Linked DNA regions of Cricetulus griseus. Each later gene encodes a partner of the first gene's protein in a complex. Links are inferred from orthologs where the notes say so. Each region holds a gene or a part of one and is shown in the gene's direction. Other genes may lie near its edges. The genes, in order: Timp1 and Mmp3.

Region 1 (9,765 bases):
AAGCATGCATAATTATGGGTATCCTGTTTCATACATGTGCACACAAACATAAAATTGCTTTATGTAATTGAATATGCTTAAAAAAAACATTTCTTTTTTGCAGTGCTGGGGACCAAACACAGGGCCTTGCACATGCTAAACAAGGACTGTACCCCTGTGCTACATCCTCAACCCAAATTATCTACTTTAAACAGGGGAGTTAAATGGAGTGTAGAATTATTTCTCAATAAAGCTGTAAAAAGAACTGTACATAGGCCATACATAGACATAAAACCTCAGTTGTACACGGAATATACAAACACAGAAGCTGAGACACACTAACTTACAAATTACAAATCTGCTTGCTACATACACACAGACAAAATCAGCTGGATGGAAAGCATACTGGACCCCAAGAGCCTGGAACATAAAAGATGATATGTATTCATCACAGAGCCATGCTTATATATTCATAGCCATATGCTTGGTACACTAGCACAGTAATGGGACATACAAAATTGGCTGATTGCATGAGAGAAATGTGGGCTGAAAAAGAAAATACAAAATCCAGTTATATGAAGGCATCACAGAAAGCATCATCAAACAGAATTTTTGTGCATTGAGTACACAGATGCACATGTAACTGTGTACAGTGCCAGAGCATGCACTATACAAACATGCATGTGTGCACCACTGTGACTCACCTTGCCCATCCCAGAATGTGCGTGGCCCATCTTCACAACCACAGGGTATGTTGTGCTGCTGAGCTAGTGAAGATGAAGGCAGAAGAGGCATAGTCAGAGCAGTAGTGCTGACCTCCAAGAGTTGGTGACCCATAGAATGTGAGCTACACTGGTTGCCATTCCCCCCACCCCCAGAAAGAGGTTGGTCAGAGACAGGCGGAACTGCAGTCAATAGTTTCACAGCGACTCTGAGCCCAGATTGCAGAAAACTGCCTGCCAGTCACTTACTCTGCTCTCTAAGTCCTAGACTATCCATATCTGCTTCCCAGCCAGAGGCCTTAGATAAGGGTGAGGGAATTTCCCAGAAAAGAAAGTTTGTTTTTATGATGATTAGCTATTGGAGTGAGTGTGTGTATGAAGGTGTGGTAGTTAGCATGCAGAATGTCTTCAGTCAAGCCTTGCATGTAAGTTTCATCTTTATGTACACACACACACACACACACACACACACACACACACACACACACACACACATCCCTTCAAAAGTGAGATTACCCAGCCAAAGTCAGAGGTGTCCACATCTATTGAGAAGTCCATATGCATTGAGAAAGACCACCACAGGCTTAAATCACATCGGGGGCTTCGAAGAAATCCAGTCAGTCAGCTCACTTGCTCTTAGCATGTGAGCACGCCCGAACAGCATGCTCTTCACACTCCTAAGACCTACAATCGGCACCTTGGAGCACACACATGAGCTCCCTCCCCTTGCTCACACCTACCTAACAGAAAGAGCCACTCATTCAGTATAGAAGCACACACAACGCTAGAAGCACACAATAAATGGACATATGCATCACTCCCCAGCATGTCCACAATGAACAGAAGGATCAAAACAACATGCAGAACGTGTGTGCACGTTTAGGCATTTCCATAACCAAATTCCTATAACTCAGACCTCATTACATTCCTGGGTCCATGAAAAGTATATCTTGATGCAAAATTATTTTTCCATATCTATGACACAAACATACAGAAAATCAAACACACAGACAACACTCCTGGGTGTGGACATAAATGCAGACAATTATGAGTTAGGTAAAGATGTGTTAAGTTTCCCTATAACCTGGGCTGGGTAGAAGGGACCAGATTAGAGGACCCTAGCCCCATCATATCCCGTGTATAAATTCAGAGCCCCTGCCTCCTACTGACAGGGCAGGGAATGCATTCTTAGAGGGGTTCCTGGGCAGTGGCAGTTCCCAAGAAGCACAGGAAGCCCCATAGTCTAAGGGTGACTGATTGACCTTCAGGTCTCTCCCTCCCTCTACAACTTCCTCCTCCCTCATTTCCCAAATGTGTGTCGTCATGAGGATGGGGGGAGGGCTGAGTGGCATGGGTTTGGAAAGGGGGATGGCGGTAAGGGTGTCATCCAGGCAGCAGGCCAAAGAAACAATGCCAAGGTATGTGTTGCGTGTGAGAAGAGAGAGATCTCCCACTCAGGCGTCTACTCATCACACAGAGAAGTATGAGGCATGCACAGTTATATTTGCAACCTTCAACTCTCAGAAGAAACACCCTTAGATATATGCCTGGCTCTCAGGAAGGGAAATTGAGCCCACCAAGGGACACATGCCAGTCACAGAGGCACAGACACACCAGAGAGCTGTGCACATGCAAGCATACCTACTTCTACTTGCTGAGCTTTCTGGATCCTTTTTATAAACCAACTTTGTTTCCTCTGTTCCTGAGCTTGAACACAGTGCTGTGTGTGCATGTAAGTGTGTCTGTCTGTCATATGTACATACAGAGGGCTTGGGATTTCCTGGAGAGCCGTAACCTGCTATCTTGGCCTTCTTCCTAAGGCCGGGTGAGATCCCGGGTAGATACCATCTCTCTGGGCCTCAGTTTCCTGATCTGCACAAAAGGTATAATCAAGACCAAGCACTTAACACTTTCTTGGGGATCATCAGGTATTTGCACATGCCAGTGAATTCCTCACACTTACCCAGTTCCCCAGATAGAGACAAGCCAAACACCTTGACATCCACCCCACTGCATTTCAAACCTGCACAACAATCAAAATCCTCACATGTAACCAGTTGGCAAAAGTGGGCTGACTCAGGTTTTATAAAGAGCTGGTGTCAGAAGCAGGGTCATAGAGGAGAGACTGGACTTTCCCTCTCTTTACTTCTCCTCAGTCCCGCCACCTACTTACTCAGCCCTGTCTCATCTACTCTCACTCCTCACTTTCACAATCAGACAGTTGAGAATTTTGGTTTCCTTTCCTTTGTTCCTTTCTTTGTATCCCTACCTCCCCACCACAGTGATTTCTTCACTATCATTCCTGGACAGGCCATTTGACCCCTTTCTGTCTCTATTTTCTCATTAAATAATGAAAATATGAATTGTAACTCACAGGCATGTTGGGAAGAATAAATCAATTACTTCAGAGGGGAAAAAATCTTAGTATACACATAAAGTAAACCCGAATCTTCAAAGTGCTGGTTACTATTATCGCTGTTATTACTGATTTGACAACTCTTCATTAATTGACATTAAGGGAGAATGAGGACAATAGCAAATGAAGGAACAAAAAATCCAGTGCTTGCTGCCTGACAACCTGAGTGTGAGTTCGTAGGGAAGGAGAGGACTGGCTCCTGCAGGTGGAGAGCAATACAAGCATGAGTACAGCTACACACACACACACACACACACACACACACACACACACACACTGAATAAATATAAGAAATCTTTTGTATATGGTGAGGGTTCTGTTGAGTGCTGGCAGTAGGTTTTTGTATGCTGTGGTTATTGAGCTAATCTAAATTAACAAAATTTAATTAGCTAAAATGACTGTACACAAAGATCTTAGCAATAGTACACAGTAAGTGCTCAACCAAGTAGCTGCTGTCATCACTATCATTATCATTTTGTGTGTGTGTGTGTGTGTGTGTGTGTGTGTGTGTGTGTGTGTGTGTGTGTGTGTGTGTGACAAGGTCTCACTATGTATGTTCCAGGCTGTCCTGGAACTCACTATGTAGACCAGGCTATCCTCAAACTCTCCGGATCCACTTGCCTGCTGGGATTACAGCCATTGTCATTACTATTGGTCTACCCTGCCTGGATTAATTGAGGGTGTTAATCATCCCATAGAACCTTCCACACGACCCCAGAGAATATCCCTGCATCATCAGGAAGCGGGTGGGCAGTAGTTGCCTCATCCCACCCCACCAGGGATGTGGGCTGGTTGGTGGGAAAGGAGCTGGGCAGGATGGGGTGGGGATGGGTTTTCTACTGACTCACTAGCTTCTTTCACCATCATCCACACCCTCACTCCCCCCATTCTCACCACACTATTCCCTGGTTGCCAAGATTGGGCTCCGCCTGAGTGAGGATCTCAGTGTCAAGAAGCCCAGGTTTAAATCCCAGTTTTGTTCTGTGACCCTGGCAAAGTTCTTCACTTCAGCTATTTGCCTGCTTGATTTTGTTTCTGCTTAAGACAGGGTCTCTCGTAGCACAGACTATCTTCAAACATCCTAAGTTCTAGGCTCACTCATGTGTACAACCACAGCAAACTTTTGGGGATAGGTTACCACCTAAGCTCTATCTGCAGGCCACCTCAGTTCCTCTCCCAGTTCTGACACACTTAACTGCCATCTTCAAAAAATAACAGACACTCTCGGTGAATCAATTTCCTCACTATGTATTTGTGTCTCTTCTCCCATCTCATGGCCCTCAACTCTTTTTCTAGTTTGTCTTCCCCTCTGCCACCCCTCAACAAAAACGCCAGGTCCACTAGGAAAGCCGGCCTTGCAACAAAGTAGATGTACTAAGGCGCAGGAATGAAGCCATTGGCTTCAGCCATAGGAAGTTTGGGGAATGTAGGGAACTGGATAAGCACAGGGCTGTGGGGGCTTGGGCTGCCTTTCCATTTCCCCTTCAAGGCCGCCAGGGAGGAATGCGAGTGACGTGGAGCTGGGGGGAAGGGGCACAGTGGGCTGGCTGGCAGTGGAGGGAGTATCTTTAGGCCGGTCCTCCGGCCCGCCCCTAGGCTTCGATTCCTGCGGTGGGTGGATGAGTAATGCGTCCAGGAAGCCTGGAGGCTGTGATTTCCGCGCCAACTCCGCCCCTTGCATGGACATTTATTCTTCACCGCTCAGTCCCTGCCGCCATCGCCGCAGATCGGGCTTCTAGAGAGACACCAGAGGTAAGTGGGAGCCGGGTGTCCTGGCTGGAGCCTGTGTTGGTGCGACCACCAGGCACATCCGGTTCCCTGCCAGACTAGCTGCTTGACTGGGCTTGCAGGTATCAAGACCTCTATTTGGCCAAGGGGGAATACGAAGGGAAGGTTTTTGGAATGAGTATCCCAAGCTAGACTCTCCGGACTCCCTCATGCCCCTAGCATTCATCCCCAAGTGCTCCAAACCCACAAGCCTCTAATGCCTTAAAGACCTCCCAACTTGCCAACTCCTCTGAATTTTTCATTGTTCCCCCAAACCCCTATAGCTCCCTTAACTCCCCCTGCCCTCAAACTTTGCCATGTCCAGCTCCTGGAACTTCAAAAGTTCTTCTGCCTTCAAATTCCTCAACACTCCCATTACCTTAAACTCCCAAATTCCCCCAGACCCCATAACCCCTAAATTTCCCCCAGTTTCCTAAAATCCCAAACCTCCTCTAAAACCCTTAGTAGCCACAAATCCCCATGCCCATTATATCTTAATCTCCCTCAGCTCCCAGCCTCCCCTTATACTTCTCCAGTTTCCCAAACCCCAAATTCTTGACTCCACAAATGTCAGTCTCCAGACTTCTCCAACTCCACTAAATTCTCAAACTTCTCAGCTCCTGGACTCATCAACTGCCACAACTCCATTATCTTCCTATTCACTGTCTCCTAAATCACTGGAACTCAATAAAACCCAAAACTTTCCCAACTGTTTAAGCCCCTAAACCTCTCCAGGTTTCTCACCCCTTAAGATTCTCAGGGTTCCCTAATCTCCCTAGGGCCAATGGGTAAACAGATCAGTTGGGCTGGGGATCAACTACTACCTTGTCTCTCCCAGCAGATACCACTATGGCCCCCTTTGCATCTCTGGCCTCAGGCATCCTCTTGTTGCTATCACTGATAACCTCCAGCAAGGCCTGTAGCTGTGCCCCACCCCACCCACAGACAGCCTTCTGCAACTCCGACCTGGGTGAGTCTAGCCCCCTTTCTGTGCCTCTTAGTCCAATAGGGCTCATGATGGCAGTTATCTCTACAACAGTTGTACTTACCCTTGCATAGATCCACTTTGGCCATATTGACATCCTTAGGCCTAAGCCCACCTTTGTGTTGGCTGTTCCCTCCCAGGTAGATATTTCTCTGTAGTTATTCACATGGGTGGCTACCTCAAGAGTCATCTTACTGGGGTGCCTGTCTACTTTGTTTAAATTTTAATCCCTGCCATATAGTACATCTGATTCCCTGTTAAATAAAACTGTGAATTACACTTCTTAGGGCACAGAAAGGCAGACTTTATTCAGGACCATGGCAATCAGATTTTTCAGTCAGGGAGAGAGATTGGGCTTAACTCTCAACATAGCATAGGCAAATGGAACTCTACAGCCAAGGAACAGTTTAGGGATTGGTGACTGGGAAATCACTGAGAAGAAATATCACAGGCAAGGAGTAAAAAGATTCAGGCTAAGCCCATTTTTTAAAAAAAGATTTATTTTTGCTGGGCGTCGGTGGCACACGCCTTTGATCCCAGCACTCAGGAGGCAGAGGCAGGCTGATCTCTGTGAGTTCGAGGTCAGCCTGGTCTCCAGAGTGAGTGCCAGGATAGGCTCCAAAGCTACACAGAGAAACCCTGTCTCGAAAAAAAAAAACAAAAAGGTTTATTTTTATTTATGTCTATGTGTGTGTGCACCATGTGTGGTGTGCAGGTGCCTGTGGAATCCAGAAGGCATCAGATCCCCTGGAGCTGGAGTTACAAGTGGTTGTGAGCCATGCTATGTGGATGCTGGGAATCAAACTTGGGTTCTCTAGAAGAGCAGCAAGTGTTCTGAACCATTAAGACATCTCTCGAGCCCATGAGCTCACTTTTTTGAGAGTAGGTCTCACTATGTAGCCCAGGCTGGCTTTGAACCCTTCATCCTCCTCACTCAGCCTTCCAAGTGCCGAGATTACAGGCCTGTGCCACCATACCCAGTTCAGGACTCTTGCTGAGAACTGGCCAGTGTAATCACCTGATGGTCAGTGGAAAATATGGAGCCCCTTCACATATCGAGGAGAGTCAGATGAGGGTGGGTTTTTCACTAAACTGATTTAGTATACTTTGGTACAAGTGGATTTTTCTTTTTCTTTTTCTTTTCTTTTCTTTTCTTTTTTTTTTTTTTTTGGTTTTTCGAGACAGGGCTTATCTGTGTAACATCCCTGGCAGTCCTGGAACTCCTATCTGTAGACCAGGCTTGCCTCAAATTCACAGAGATCTGCTTGCCTCTGCCTCCCGATTGCTGGTATTAAAGGTGTGAACCACCACCACCTGGCATCTACAACTGCATTTTTAAGAGAAACTGCACTTATAAGCTTGGAAGAAGGTTAATGAGCCTGAGTAAATTGTGGTCAAGCAAAGAATATGTGTCAATCTCCTCCCTTTTCTAATTCTCCATCATACTTAACAGCCTTTAACAATCCATATACCTTTTTCTCCATACTGGGGATTGAACCTAGGACTTTTCATATGCTAAGCAAATTGAGGTACAAACCCAACCCTTTTGTGAATTTCATTTTAAAACAGGGTCTCACTAAATTGTCTAGACTGGTCTTGAACTCACACTGTAGTGGTCCTCCTTCATCACCTTGACAGAGCTGGGGTTACAGGTTTGTGCCACCATGCCTGGCTACTTAATTTTAGTTATATCCTCCTGGCTTGAATGTGAGATCCACAAGGAAATGGATTCCTGTGTTTGGGTCACTGTTGTGTCCCTAACACCCTGAACAGTGGCTGCATATATCAGGCACTCCAAAATATTTGTTGAGAAAGCCAACAGATGGATATATGAAAAGTGCTTAAAACAGTACCTGGAAGAGTAGACAATGTATAGATGAATCAATCAACAGACATGGAAACATGGAAACCATTAAGTGTGCTGTCTCTATTAGAATTATGCTTGTATATATGTTTTGCTGTTATGGGTTCATGCTGCTCACTTAACTCCTTATTTTCCCCTTCCTTTCTAGTCATAAGGGCTAAATTCATGGGGCCCCCAGAAATCATTTTCAACTTATACCAACGTTATGAGATCAAGATGACTAAGGTATTCCTTCCTTCCTCCCTCCCTCCCTTCCTCCCTCCTTCTCTCCCTCTCTCCCTCCCTCCTCTTTCCCTGTCTCCCTCCATAGCCATATTAACCTCTTCCTCCTCCTCAAAATACTAGCATCTAGCCTTTGGTTGGTGTGGACGTTTCCCATAATTTTGTGATTTAGATATATGACATCAGGTTAAGAGGTAATGGAGTGGGAGGATTAAATCAGTAAAAGATAGACTTTTTGTCACTCATGGGCAGATGCTCAAAGGATTCGACGCTGTGGGAAATGCCGCAGATTTCCGGTTCGCCTACACCCCAGCCCTTGAGAGCCTCTGCGGATATGTCCACAAGTCCCAGAACCGCAGCGAGGAGTTTCTCATCGCGGGTGAGGCCCGCCCCTTCGCTTTGGGCCACACCCCTTCATCCTCAGATGCTTCCTGGCAACTGGGAGGAGCGAGGCTCTAAAGGGAAAGGACCTGGTTGAAATGGGGGCGGGAAGGTTTGTAAACTAATGCTAATCAGGTAACCCCAGCACCACCCGGCCAATCAAAAGCCTGTTGGTTTCTCCATTCCCTTACAGGACGCCTAAGGAATGGAAGTTTGCACATCAGTGCCTGCAGCTTCTTGGTTCCCTGGTATAGCCTGACCCCTGCTCAGCAAAAAGCCTTCTCAAAGACGTATAGTGCTGGCTGTGGGGTGTGCACAGTAAGTTCCTAGAACCAGCTCTCTTTCTGGAGATAATACCTGGAACGGTTTCTTTTTCCCTCTGGCTATTCTTTGTTATTGTAGCTGCTTCCCAAACCCAACCACTGCCTTTAATTTCTCTTGTTGTCCCAAACCTGCTCTTTTGGAGATACTGGTTGTTCTATTATCTTGGGACTGCATGTTCCCTGAACCTTCTCTGCCTCTCTAACTTTTCTTTTGTGTCTACTCTGAAATACTGCTGTCTGTTTCTGATCTCCCAAGATTGGGTTTGGCTTCCCAGGCATGTTCTGCAAGAATTCAACGTGTGATTTTCCAAATCCACAGGGATATGTCGACCTGGCTATTTCAAAACTGTTCCCTGACAGCAATAAATATCCTCTGACCTCAGTCACTGTCTGAGAGCCCCGTTGCCTATTCTTATGCTTAACCTCTCTGCATGCCAACTGTTACCCTCTACTCAGTTCTCTGCCCTGTGAGGCCTGCCTGAGTGACTTCAAGAGATAGTTTCCTACCCACCATTCCAGAACACTGGCTTTCTGTTCCCCAAATGGGAGAAGCTGTTCTCGGGTCTAAACACAGGTGGGGCAATGTCAAGCCTTCCCAGCTGCTCTGTGTTGCCAGAAGGAGAGTGGAACACTCTCCATAGGGGAGGGAACAGGGGAAGAAGAAGCCCCCAGAGTGGACCTTTCTCTCATCTTCCAGGTGTTTCCCTGTTCAACCATGCCTTGCAAACTGGAGAGTGATACTCATTGCTTGTGGACAGATCAGATCCTCACGGGCTCTGAGAAGGGCTACCAGAGCCGTAACTTTGCCTGCTTGCCTCGGAATCCACAGTTGTGTGCCTGGCAATCCCTGAGGGCCTAGATGACCCAAAGCCTACCCCCAGTGGAAGCTGAAGCCTGCACACTGCTCCCCTCCCCTCCATCTTTCTTTCTTTTAGACAGTGAAATAAAGAACTACCACACAGCAGTGCCGTTTCAGTGTAGTGTCTGGGAACAAACTCAAGACAATGATAACCTGGTGGGAGCATCCAGGGTCCAATGAAAAATGAATCCATTTGAAATGTTGAGTTTGGAGGCTGGAAATGTAACTTAGTGGTAGAGCAGCTGTT
Region 2 (9,765 bases), on another chromosome or scaffold:
GTCAAGTAACCTATAAAGGCAAACCTATCAGAATTACACCTGACTTTTCCATGGAAACTCTGAAAGCCAGAAGGTCCTGGATAGATATTCTACAAACACTAAGGGAGCATGGATGCCAACCCAGACTACTGTACCCAGCAAAGCTTTCAGTCAATATAGATGGAGAAAACAAGATATTCCATGACAAAACCAGATTCAAACAATACATATCCACCAATCCAGCCATACAGAAATTTCTGGAAGGAAAACTGCAACCCAAGGAAGTTAACTACAACCAGAATACAGGCAATAGATAATCCCACTTTACCAATAGCCAAATGGAAAAGGAATAGAATCCTACACATAATCTTGCCATGATCACCAAATCAAAAGCAAACAAGAATGAACAATCAATGGTGATTAATATCCATCAACATTAATGGTCTTAACTCCCCTATAAAAAGACACAGATTAGCAGAATGGATAAGAAGACAGAATCCTTCCTTCTGCTGCATATAAGAAACACACTTCAAAGACAGATGGTACCTAAGAATTAAAGGTTGGGGAAAGATTTTCCAATCAAATGGACCCAAGAAACAAGCAGAGGTAGCATTCCTAATATCCAACAAACTGGATTTTAAACTAAAATCAATCAAAAGAGATGAAGGAGGTCACTTCCTACCCATCCACAGGAGAAATCCATCAGGATAAAGTCTCAGTTCTGAACATTTATGCCCCAAATAAAAAGGCATCCACGTTTGTAAAAGAAACATTACTAAAACTCAAATCACACATAAAACCGCACACACTTATAGTGGGAGACTTCATCACCCCACTCTCATCACTGGACAGGAACACCAGACAGAAACTTAAAAAAGAAACAAAGGAACTAATAGAAGTTATGGCACAATTGGACTTAACAGATATGTATAGAATATTCCATCCAAATACAAAACAATTCACCTTCTTCTAAGTGCCACATGGAACCTTCTCTGAAATCAACCACATACTCAGCAACATAGCAAACCTCAACAGGTACAAAAAACTTGAAATAACCCCCTGTATTTTATCAGACCACCATGCTTTAAAGTTAGAATTCAACAACAACACGAATTACAGAAAACCTACAAACTCATGGAAATTAAGTAACACCCAATTGCACAATTCATGGGTCCAGGAAGAAATAAAAAAAGAAATTAAAGATTTCCTAGAATTCAATGAGAATGCGGACACAACATATCCAAACCTATGGAATATTTTGAAAGCAGTGCTAAGAGGAAAGTTCATAGTGCTAAATGCCCACATGAAGAAACAGGAGACTGCTTCCTGAACATAACACCAGTAGCACAGACACTGAGATCAACCAATTGATAAATGGGACTTCCTGAAACTGAGAAGCTTCTATAAGGCAAAGGACAAAGTCAGCAAGACAAAACATAGCCCACAGACTGGGAAAATATATTAACCAACCCCACATCTGACAGAGGGCTGATCTCCAAAATATACAAAGAACTCAAGAAGCTAGTCTCCAAATCACCAAAAAAAAAAAAAAAAAATGCAATTAAAAGTGTGGTACAGAACTATATAGACAATTCTCAATAGAGGAATCTAAAATGGCCGAAAGACACATAAGAAAGTGTTCAACATCCTTAGCCATCAGGGAAATGCAAATTAAAATAACTCTGTGATACCATCTTACTCCTGTCAGAATGGCCAAAATCAAAAACGCCAATTTCAGTTTATGCTGGAGAGGATGTGGAGAAAGGGGAACACTTCTCCACTGCTGGTGGGAGTGCCAGTTTGTACAACCACTTTGGAAATCAGTATGGTGACTCCTCAAGAAAATGGGAATCAGTCTACCACAAGATCCAGCAATTCCACTATTAGGCATATACCCAAAAGAAGCACATTCATACAACAAGGACATCTGTTCAACGATGTTCATAGCAGCACTATTTGTAATAGCCAGAAACTGGAAGCAACCTAGATGCCCCTCAACTGAAGAATGGATACAGAAAATGTGGTACATTTACACAATGGAGTACTACTCAGCGGAAAAAAAAAACAATGGAATCTTGAAATTTGCAGGAAAATGGATGGAACTAGAAGAAACAATCTGAGCGAGGTAACCCAATCACAAATAGAGAAACATGGTATGTACTCACTCATATGCTGATTTTAGACATAGAGTAAAGGATTACCAGCCTACAATCTACACTGCCAGAGAAGCTAGTAAATAAGGAGTACCCTGAAAGAGACAAACATAGTCCCCTGGAGAAGGGGAAAGGGTCAAGATCCTCTGAGCAAATTGAGAGCAGGGGAAGAAGGGGAAGGGAGCTAGGAGAATGAGAAGGGAAGAAAAGGAGGGATGCAGAGGACATGAGGGAGCAGAAAGTTTGAGTCAGGTGAAGAATAGAGGATAAAAAGAATGGAGATACTATAATAGAAGGAGACATTTTAGGTTTGCAGAGAAATCAGGCACTAGGGAAATGTCTGGAGATCTACAAAGATGACACCAGCTCACAATCTAAGCAACAGAGGAGAGGCTACTCTTTAATGCCCTTTAATGCCCCCCCATAACAAGATTGATGACTGACTTATATGGCACCTGATAGCCCTCTTTCAGCAGTTGGTGGATGTAGAAGCAGACACCCACAACTTACCACTGAACTGAACTGGAATCCAGATGCAGAGGATGAGTGAAGAGCAAAGGGGTCCAGATCAGGCTGGTGAAACCCACAGAGACAACTGACCTGAACATCGGAGAACTCTTGCTCCCCAGACTGATAGCTGGGATACCAGCATGGGACTGACCCAGGAACATGGATTTCATTGAGGAAACCTCGGAAATCTACAGTACTTATCCTTAGCATAGGCGTGGACTTTGGGAGCCCATTCCACACAGAGGCATACTCCCTGAACCAAGACATGTGGGGATGGGCCCAGGCTCTATCCCAAAGGCTATGATAGATTCTGATGACACCCTATGGAAGACCTCACCATCTGGGGAGCAGAAAGGATATGTGTTTTAGTTGGAGGGTAGGGGAGGGTGGGAGGGAGAAGGGAAGTAGGATTGTCATATAAAACAATCTTGTTTCTAATTCAAATTTTAAAAATCTGAAGGAAAAAAATAAAAGAAATCAGTGGTGGGTTTTTTCCTTTAGGTTTCCTTCTGGATATTCCATCCTGTGTGTGGAATATAGTATATGGGCTGTGGTGACATATAGTATTAAGTGTAGCTATCTATATAGGTATTTATTTTCCTTACCCACATCTCACTGTATTTAGCTTTGGCTTCTAGAAGTTCTGCACAACTTGGGCCTTTTACCAAGTTAGTCCACTTCTATCCGAGTCACAAACATTACTGTGTCTGAACTATAATTAAGTTTTCCAAATTAAAAAAAAAAAATCCCAGTTTTCTCTCCTGCCAGGCAGGAAGCATTTCCTGGCGATTAATCACTGTTTTGCCTTGCAAAATTCAGAAGGTTCAGAGAACTTGGTAAAGAAAGTTGTAACACCCTACTTTGATTTTCGGCTTTTGGAAGCAGTCCCATTTGGGTGGAAGCAATGATGAGTCAGTTTGTGGGTCATCCCTAAAAGCACTGTTACTCTATAAAACTTGGGTTCAGGAGGGTGTTTGTAGAAGGAGGTGGGCAGAGAACACGGCAAAGGCAGCATAGAGCTGAGGAAAGCCAGCGGAAATGAAGAGTCTCTTGGTCCTGGTCCCGCTATGGCTGTGTGGAGCAGTTTGCTCAGCCTACCCTCTGTATGGTGGTAGTGCAAGGGAGGAGGACACCGGTATGGAGCTTCTTCAGGTAAGTTGGCCTCCATGCTCTTCGGCAGGGCACAGCTTTACATTATATAGATCGGTTCTGACTGCTTGTGAATGAGTGATTCCACAGTGGAGGAGGCTTAGAAGCTGTTGGGTCTCAATATCACATGATTCTTCCTTTTGTATGAGAGGAAACAAAGGCCATAAATACTTTCAATATCACACAGCATGGCGGAAGCAGCAGCACTAACGCTGGAGGTAAAGGTGTGATAAGGAAAAAGAGCATGAACTGTGCCTTGCTTCGGACCTTCCTTTACAGTTTGAGTCCATTACATTTTAGAAAAAATATTAATAGTGTTAATAAATGAGAGCCTTGCCTAATTTTTCCCTAGCAAGCCACATCCTGTGAAAACTATAAAATTGGGGAAATTAAATAAAATTACCCTGACAAATATTCTCATAAATGTTTATTTATTCCTGTTAGTTTTCTTTGCACTAAATACTTATGAATTCATCCCCTCACTTTCAGTGCTTTAGTGGCAAACAGAGATGTTGCGTTTCAAAAATAAAGCAAAGAAGGAGGAGCTATCACTGACAAATTAAATGAAATAGTATGCTTATGATTTCAGTGAATGAGAAAAATCGGTTAAAGAGACTAAGAAAAGTAAAGCCCTTGCCTGGCTTTGAGTCCAGTCCTGTAATCTCAGGGTTCAGGAGCCAGATGCAGAAGAGCATGAATTCAAAGGAGTTTCTTGGTTAGATAGTGAGATACTGGAATGAATGAATGAATGAATAAATGAAATGAAGGTATATGAATACACACATTTACTAAAAATAGCAATAGCTAAAAGAGATCAGAATTGTGACGTAAGGGTGACATTGATCCCTTTAGAAATACTTAGAAAACTACTACGGCCTTGCAAAAGATGTGAAGCAGTTCACTGAGAAAAAGAACAATAGTCCTGTTGTCAAAAAAATCCAAGAAATGCAGAAGTTCCTCGGGCTGGAGATGACAGGGAGGCTGGACTCCAGCACTATGGATGTGATGCTCAAGCCCAGGTGTGGCGTCCCCGATGTCGGTGATTTCAGCACCTTTCCAGGTTCACCAAAGTGGAGGGAAACCCACCTCACCTATAGGTAGGTAACGGGTCCGAAGTTTTCACACGTGTTAACACTGTGTCAGAGTCATCGAGCAGCACACACTGCCTTCTTCCTCTTCTCTCATGCAGGATTGTGAATTATACACCAGATTTACCGAAAGAGAGTGTGGACTCTGCCATTGAGAAAGCACTGAAAGTCTGGGAAGAGGTGACCCCACTCACGTTCTCCAAGCGCTCTGAAGGAGAGGCTGACATAATGATCTCCTTTGCAGCTGGAGGTAAAAATGCAAGAACTGCCTGAAGCACACATTGCCCAGTGGTGTTTTACTGAGTCCTAATTAGCAATTGGTGCAGGTGTGTGTGTGTGTGTGTGTGTGTGTGTGTGTGTACATATATATATATATATATTATATATATATATATATATATATATATATATTCTCCCTTCAGAACATGGAGACTTCATCCCTTTTGATGGGCCTGGAGCAGTCTTGGCTCATGCGTATGCACCTGGGCTGGGGATTAATGGAGACGCTCACTTTGATGATGATGAACAGTGGACTGAGGACACGACAGGTTAGTGCTCTACCTCACAGCATGACTTAGTTTAGTTTCTTTTCATATTTGGGCAAATTTTCATAATCAGCTGTACTAATGCTAGAATGTGTTCTGGATTCCAGTGGAATACATTTTTTGTTTTAATCATTGCTTAGTGTATTTCCAGATAACTAAAATGCATTTATTTTTCTAATAAGCACAATATAAAATCTGTCACTAAATGTTTGACCTGTCCAACTCAGATGTGATGGTTTTTGTCTTATCCTATATTTTGTTGTTATCCCTTAGAACCCTGTTCTTTTCCAATGAGAGACAGAAAGGGAGGGGATCTGGATGTGATAGGGAGGTGGAGAGGAACTGGGAGGAGCAGAGGAAGTAGAAAATCTAATCAGAACATATTGTATGAGAAAAGAATCTATTCTCGATAAAGGGAAAACACTACATTTTTAACAGTTGTGGATCTTGTGTGATCTACAGGCTACTATTACTAAAGACTGCCTAATGGTATCAAATTGTAGATATTCAGGCAGTACAATAGAGCACTACTTGACTCTTGTTTTTCCCCTTTTACTTTTCAAACTAGAAGCCAAAATGAAACTTCAGAAATCTGAGATTTTTGTTTATTTTGGTTGGTTGGTTTTATTAAGCTCACCTTTTTGTGATTTCTGGTTAAGATGAATTTTGATCAGTTTCCGAAAGAGAACTATCCCTGAAGTACAATGAACTGTCTAGGCAGAAGATTTTTTAGTTCTTATCTTCAGGGATTGACTAAGTTTTCAAAACTTGGCTGAAATAAATTGTATTGCTTTTGAGACTGAACTGGATTCACAATGAAAACATAAACTGATACCTGTTGAAAATACAAATCTAGCTTTTACACTGAATAAAATTCATGTTTTGTAGAATTAGCATTTCCCCCAGAGGACCCTTATTCAAAATTAGGACACACTCTGGCCCACAACATCCATAGGGAATATTTAGGAAAGTTCTGCCAGTCCTAATCACCTCACACATCCTGATCTCAGCACTGAAGGCATTCTTTCACACAACTCTAATGAGAATGTGAATACAGTTAGAGTCTAAGACCTCATTTATGATAAACACTTATGCATGTTATGTTTAAAACCAATTTTACAAACCCTATGACATCTGTATCCTTAGCCATTTTTGGCACTTGGTATGTAAAAGGATGATGAAGCTATAAAATGATGTAGGTAAAATCCGATAGAAAGAGTAGGGTTCATGCTGGGCGGTAGTGTCACACACCTTTAATCCCAGCACTTGGGAGGCAGAGGCAGGCGGATCTCTGTGAGTTCGAGACCAGCCTGGTCTACAAGAGCTAGTTCCAGGACAGTCTCCAAAGCCACAGAGAAACCCTGTCTGGAAAAAAAAACCAAAAAAGAAAGAAAGAAAGAAAGAAAGAAAGAAAGAAAGAAAGAAAAGAAAGAAAGAGTAGGGTTCCGGTTATTTAAGGGTTTTAGAATTAAGATGAATACTACCCTGAGATTAGTTAGCTGATATTGAAATTGTCAAATGCTAATCACATGCTGGAGTACTTTTAGCTTTTCCTGGACAAAGGAAAAGAGAGAGCTCTGATATGCTAAACAATAAATAACAGGCTCCATTTCTAACAACAATGAGTGAGACCTGCTGTTCAGACAGTTTGAGGTCAAAGAGAGGGACCACTGGATGAGTTTGGAGACTTTAGATTGATTTCAAGCACGAGTTTTAAAATATACTGTTTTCCTGCCAAGTGTGGGGTCAGTCTATTATTCAACGAGACAGCAAACAAGGTGAGTACAAGTCTGTGTGTTTTCAGGAAGTAAATGAATGCTGTGTCAACTGGCCCATATGATGTAGATGTAGTTAAGGATAAGCAACTATTATTTATGATTTCTTCCATAGGTACCAACTTATTCCTGGTTGCTGCTCATGAACTTGGCCACTCACTGGGCCTCTTTCACTCAGCCAAGCCTGAAGCATTGATGTACCCAGTCTACAAGTCCTCCGGAGACCTGGCCCGCTTCCGTCTCTCTCAAGATGATGTGGATGGCATTCAGTCCCTCTACGGTGAGTGACGGGACAAAGGAGTACTTGAGGCTGTTGTGATGTTACATAAGTATTTGTGATTAGATTCAGAGTCCTTGGGGGTGTTTGGGGAGCACAGAATTGACATGCAGGCCACATTTCTCTTAACGTTGCCTCCTTTAACCTGTTCCCTTTAGGACCTCCCCCAGCATCCCCTGATGTCCCCGTGGTACCCACCAAACCTAACTCTCTGGAACCTGAATCATCGCTGATGTGCAGTCCTGCTTTGTCCTTTGATGCAGTCAGCACCCTTCGGGGAGAATTCTTGTTTTTTAAAGACAGGTCAGACCCAAGAACCCTAAATTGCTATCTATTTTTATGAAAATTGCTTAGAAAGGGCAATAACCAGGAAAACAATCAATATAAGCATTTTAAAGACAAACTCTCAAGCCTGGACTCTCTCAGATCTGACACTGACCTTTCCACATGTTTCTAAAACTGTCAAGTTCATTTTTGAAGCTGGATAGTTTGATTCTTGTCACTGAGGTTTTGTCCCCAGATGTTCTAGTCATAGGCTGTTGTTTAGAGGGTAGAAATGATCCTCAGAGCACAGTTTATCTGTTTAGAGGGTAGAAATGATCCTCAGAGGCAGAGTTTTATCTTTACTTTCTTTCAAAATGACACTAGGAGAAGCATCATATTTTATCGGTTCATGTACTGCTCAGTAAGTATGCCTGGGAGAAAACATTCATCTGCATGAAAGGGAGCTGAAAGTTTTCTTCCCCAGATTTCTCCACACTTAAGCAATCTGGATATTTTGAGAGGCCCAGACTGGCTGGAAGCTGTTATGCTCTTGCCTCTTCCCAAGTGCTAGGATTAGGGGCTGTGCCACCATACCCTAGTTCAAGATCTCTTGTGTATCCTGGATGTTTCTGTACAAGGATATATTTATACATCACACCCATGCACAGGCACACACACCTCTCACTCACTGTCTATCTTTTTGGGTAGTGTGAGTGGTACTTTAATTACCAATTACACACTGTTTCACATTTATTACATGTACTTAAAGCTTATGCTGAACTAATTAATTGACATGGTGGAGAACTTTGGTTTCACAGATATTGCTCTGGGAATCTATGACAGGAGGTCTGTTGCAGTCTGAGAGAGAGAGAGAGAGAGAGAGAGAGAGAGAGAGAGAGAGAGAGAGCACTAGTGGATGAGAGAACATGGGGTGAATTAGCACTGACACCCAGGATAATACACTAAAGATAAAAGGCTGTTTTTCAAATGCTATTTTTCTTTTACATCTATTTTTTAGGCATTTTTGGCGAAAATCTTTGAGGACCCCTGAGGCTGGCTTTTATTTGATTTCTTCATTTTGGCCCTCCCTCCCTTCCAGCATGGATGCCGCATATGAGGTTACTAACAGAGACACTGTTTTCATATTTAAAGGTGATTCTTCCACAACATTGCTTTAACTTAGTGAAACAGCCTTCTGATGGGAAAACTGAACAGGGCTTTACTATGTCAAATTCTGTTCAATTAAAAAATAGCCAAAGATAATAAAGAAACACATAAAACCAACATTTTATTTATAGTTAAAAAGTGAACTCAGGGAGATACATTGACTGGGTTGAAAATCACCTCATTTGTTCCTAGCTCATTGTTCCCAGCTGTGCATTTTTGTTGACTGACCATCCTAGAGCTAAGGCCTAAATCTATTCACCACAAAAAGACAAGGTGCTAAGATTGTATTTCCACAACATCCTTACTGGACTTTTAACATGACTGCTGTTTCTGTTGCTGTTTTGTTTCTGTACAGGGGATCAGTTCTGGGCTGTCCGAGGGCACGAGGAGCAAGCAGGCTACCCTAAAAGCATCCACACTTTGGGTCTCCCTGCAACTGTTGGGAAGATTGATGCCGCCGTTTCTGACAAGGAGAAGAAGAAGACGTACTTCTTTGTAGAGGACAAATACTGGAGGTGAGATGCTGTGAGGATGGTTTTGTGAAGAGACTGACTTGAGAGTTGCTTTCTCTCTCTGAGGAAACACTTCCCTTATCCTCACTCTCCTTTCTGAACGAGGACAGGGATTTTGACAACTGTGGGGAGGGCTTGGAAACACAGGCATTTCTTAAGTGTTCCTGTTTAGAGTGTGCCTCCCCACTCCCCAGCCCCGCCCCCACCCCCGCCACACACACACCTCATGTAGAGCCCCTCTTCTCTACCTGCTAAATCCTACATATGCTTCAAGCTCAGACTTAATTCCCTCCACCTTCATGAAGTCTTTCTTTCTGAACTTCAAGTCCAACTGGCCTTTATGTCC

Evidence for each region.
Region 2: the proteins of Timp1 (region 1) and Mmp3 are in contact, whole or in part, in a crystal structure (PDB 1UEA), measured with the Homo sapiens proteins. The link is inferred for Cricetulus griseus from reciprocal best matches to the Homo sapiens genes TIMP1 and MMP3. Residues at the interface, in NP_003245.1 of Homo sapiens: Cys24, Thr25, Cys26, Val27, Pro28, Pro29, Val52, Thr56, Leu57, Tyr58, Pro87, Ala88, Met89, Glu90, Ser91, Val92, Cys93, Thr121, Cys122, Leu156, Ser157, Pro159, Gln173, Leu174, Gly177, Glu179; in NP_002413.1 of Homo sapiens: Phe100, Thr102, Phe103, Phe171, Tyr172, Gly178, Asn179, Val180, Leu181, Ala182, His183, Ala184, Tyr185, Ala186, Thr207, Thr208, Gly209, Thr210, Val215, His218, Glu219, His222, Phe227, His228, Tyr237, Pro238, Leu239, Tyr240, His241, Ser242.

The regions. Positions count from the first base shown.
Region 1 is NC_048604.1:125,719,740-125,729,504, forward strand, and holds Timp1 (metalloproteinase inhibitor 1), read left to right. Parts: upstream 1-4,713; 5' UTR 4,714-4,869; intron 4,870-5,722; exon of another isoform or gene 5,723-5,725; 5' UTR 5,726-5,733; coding exon 5,734-5,854; intron 5,855-7,881; coding exon 7,882-7,958; intron 7,959-8,207; coding exon 8,208-8,334; intron 8,335-8,529; coding exon 8,530-8,654; intron 8,655-9,356; coding exon 9,357-9,518; 3' UTR 9,519-9,623; downstream 9,624-9,765. Other genes in the region: Syn1 (synapsin-1), read right to left, coding at 684-746. UniProt on the Homo sapiens protein: Metalloproteinase inhibitor that functions by forming one to one complexes with target metalloproteinases, such as collagenases, and irreversibly inactivates them by binding to their catalytic zinc cofactor.
Region 2 is NC_048597.1:121,902,233-121,911,997, forward strand, and holds the start of Mmp3 (stromelysin-1), read left to right. Parts: upstream 1-3,680; coding exon 3,681-3,794; intron 3,795-4,643; coding exon 4,644-4,888; intron 4,889-4,980; coding exon 4,981-5,129; intron 5,130-5,301; coding exon 5,302-5,427; intron 5,428-7,314; coding exon 7,315-7,479; intron 7,480-7,634; coding exon 7,635-7,779; intron 7,780-8,758; coding exon 8,759-8,892; intron 8,893-9,262; coding exon 9,263-9,422; intron 9,423-9,765. UniProt on the Homo sapiens protein: Metalloproteinase with a rather broad substrate specificity that can degrade fibronectin, laminin, gelatins of type I, III, IV, and V; collagens III, IV, X, and IX, and cartilage proteoglycans.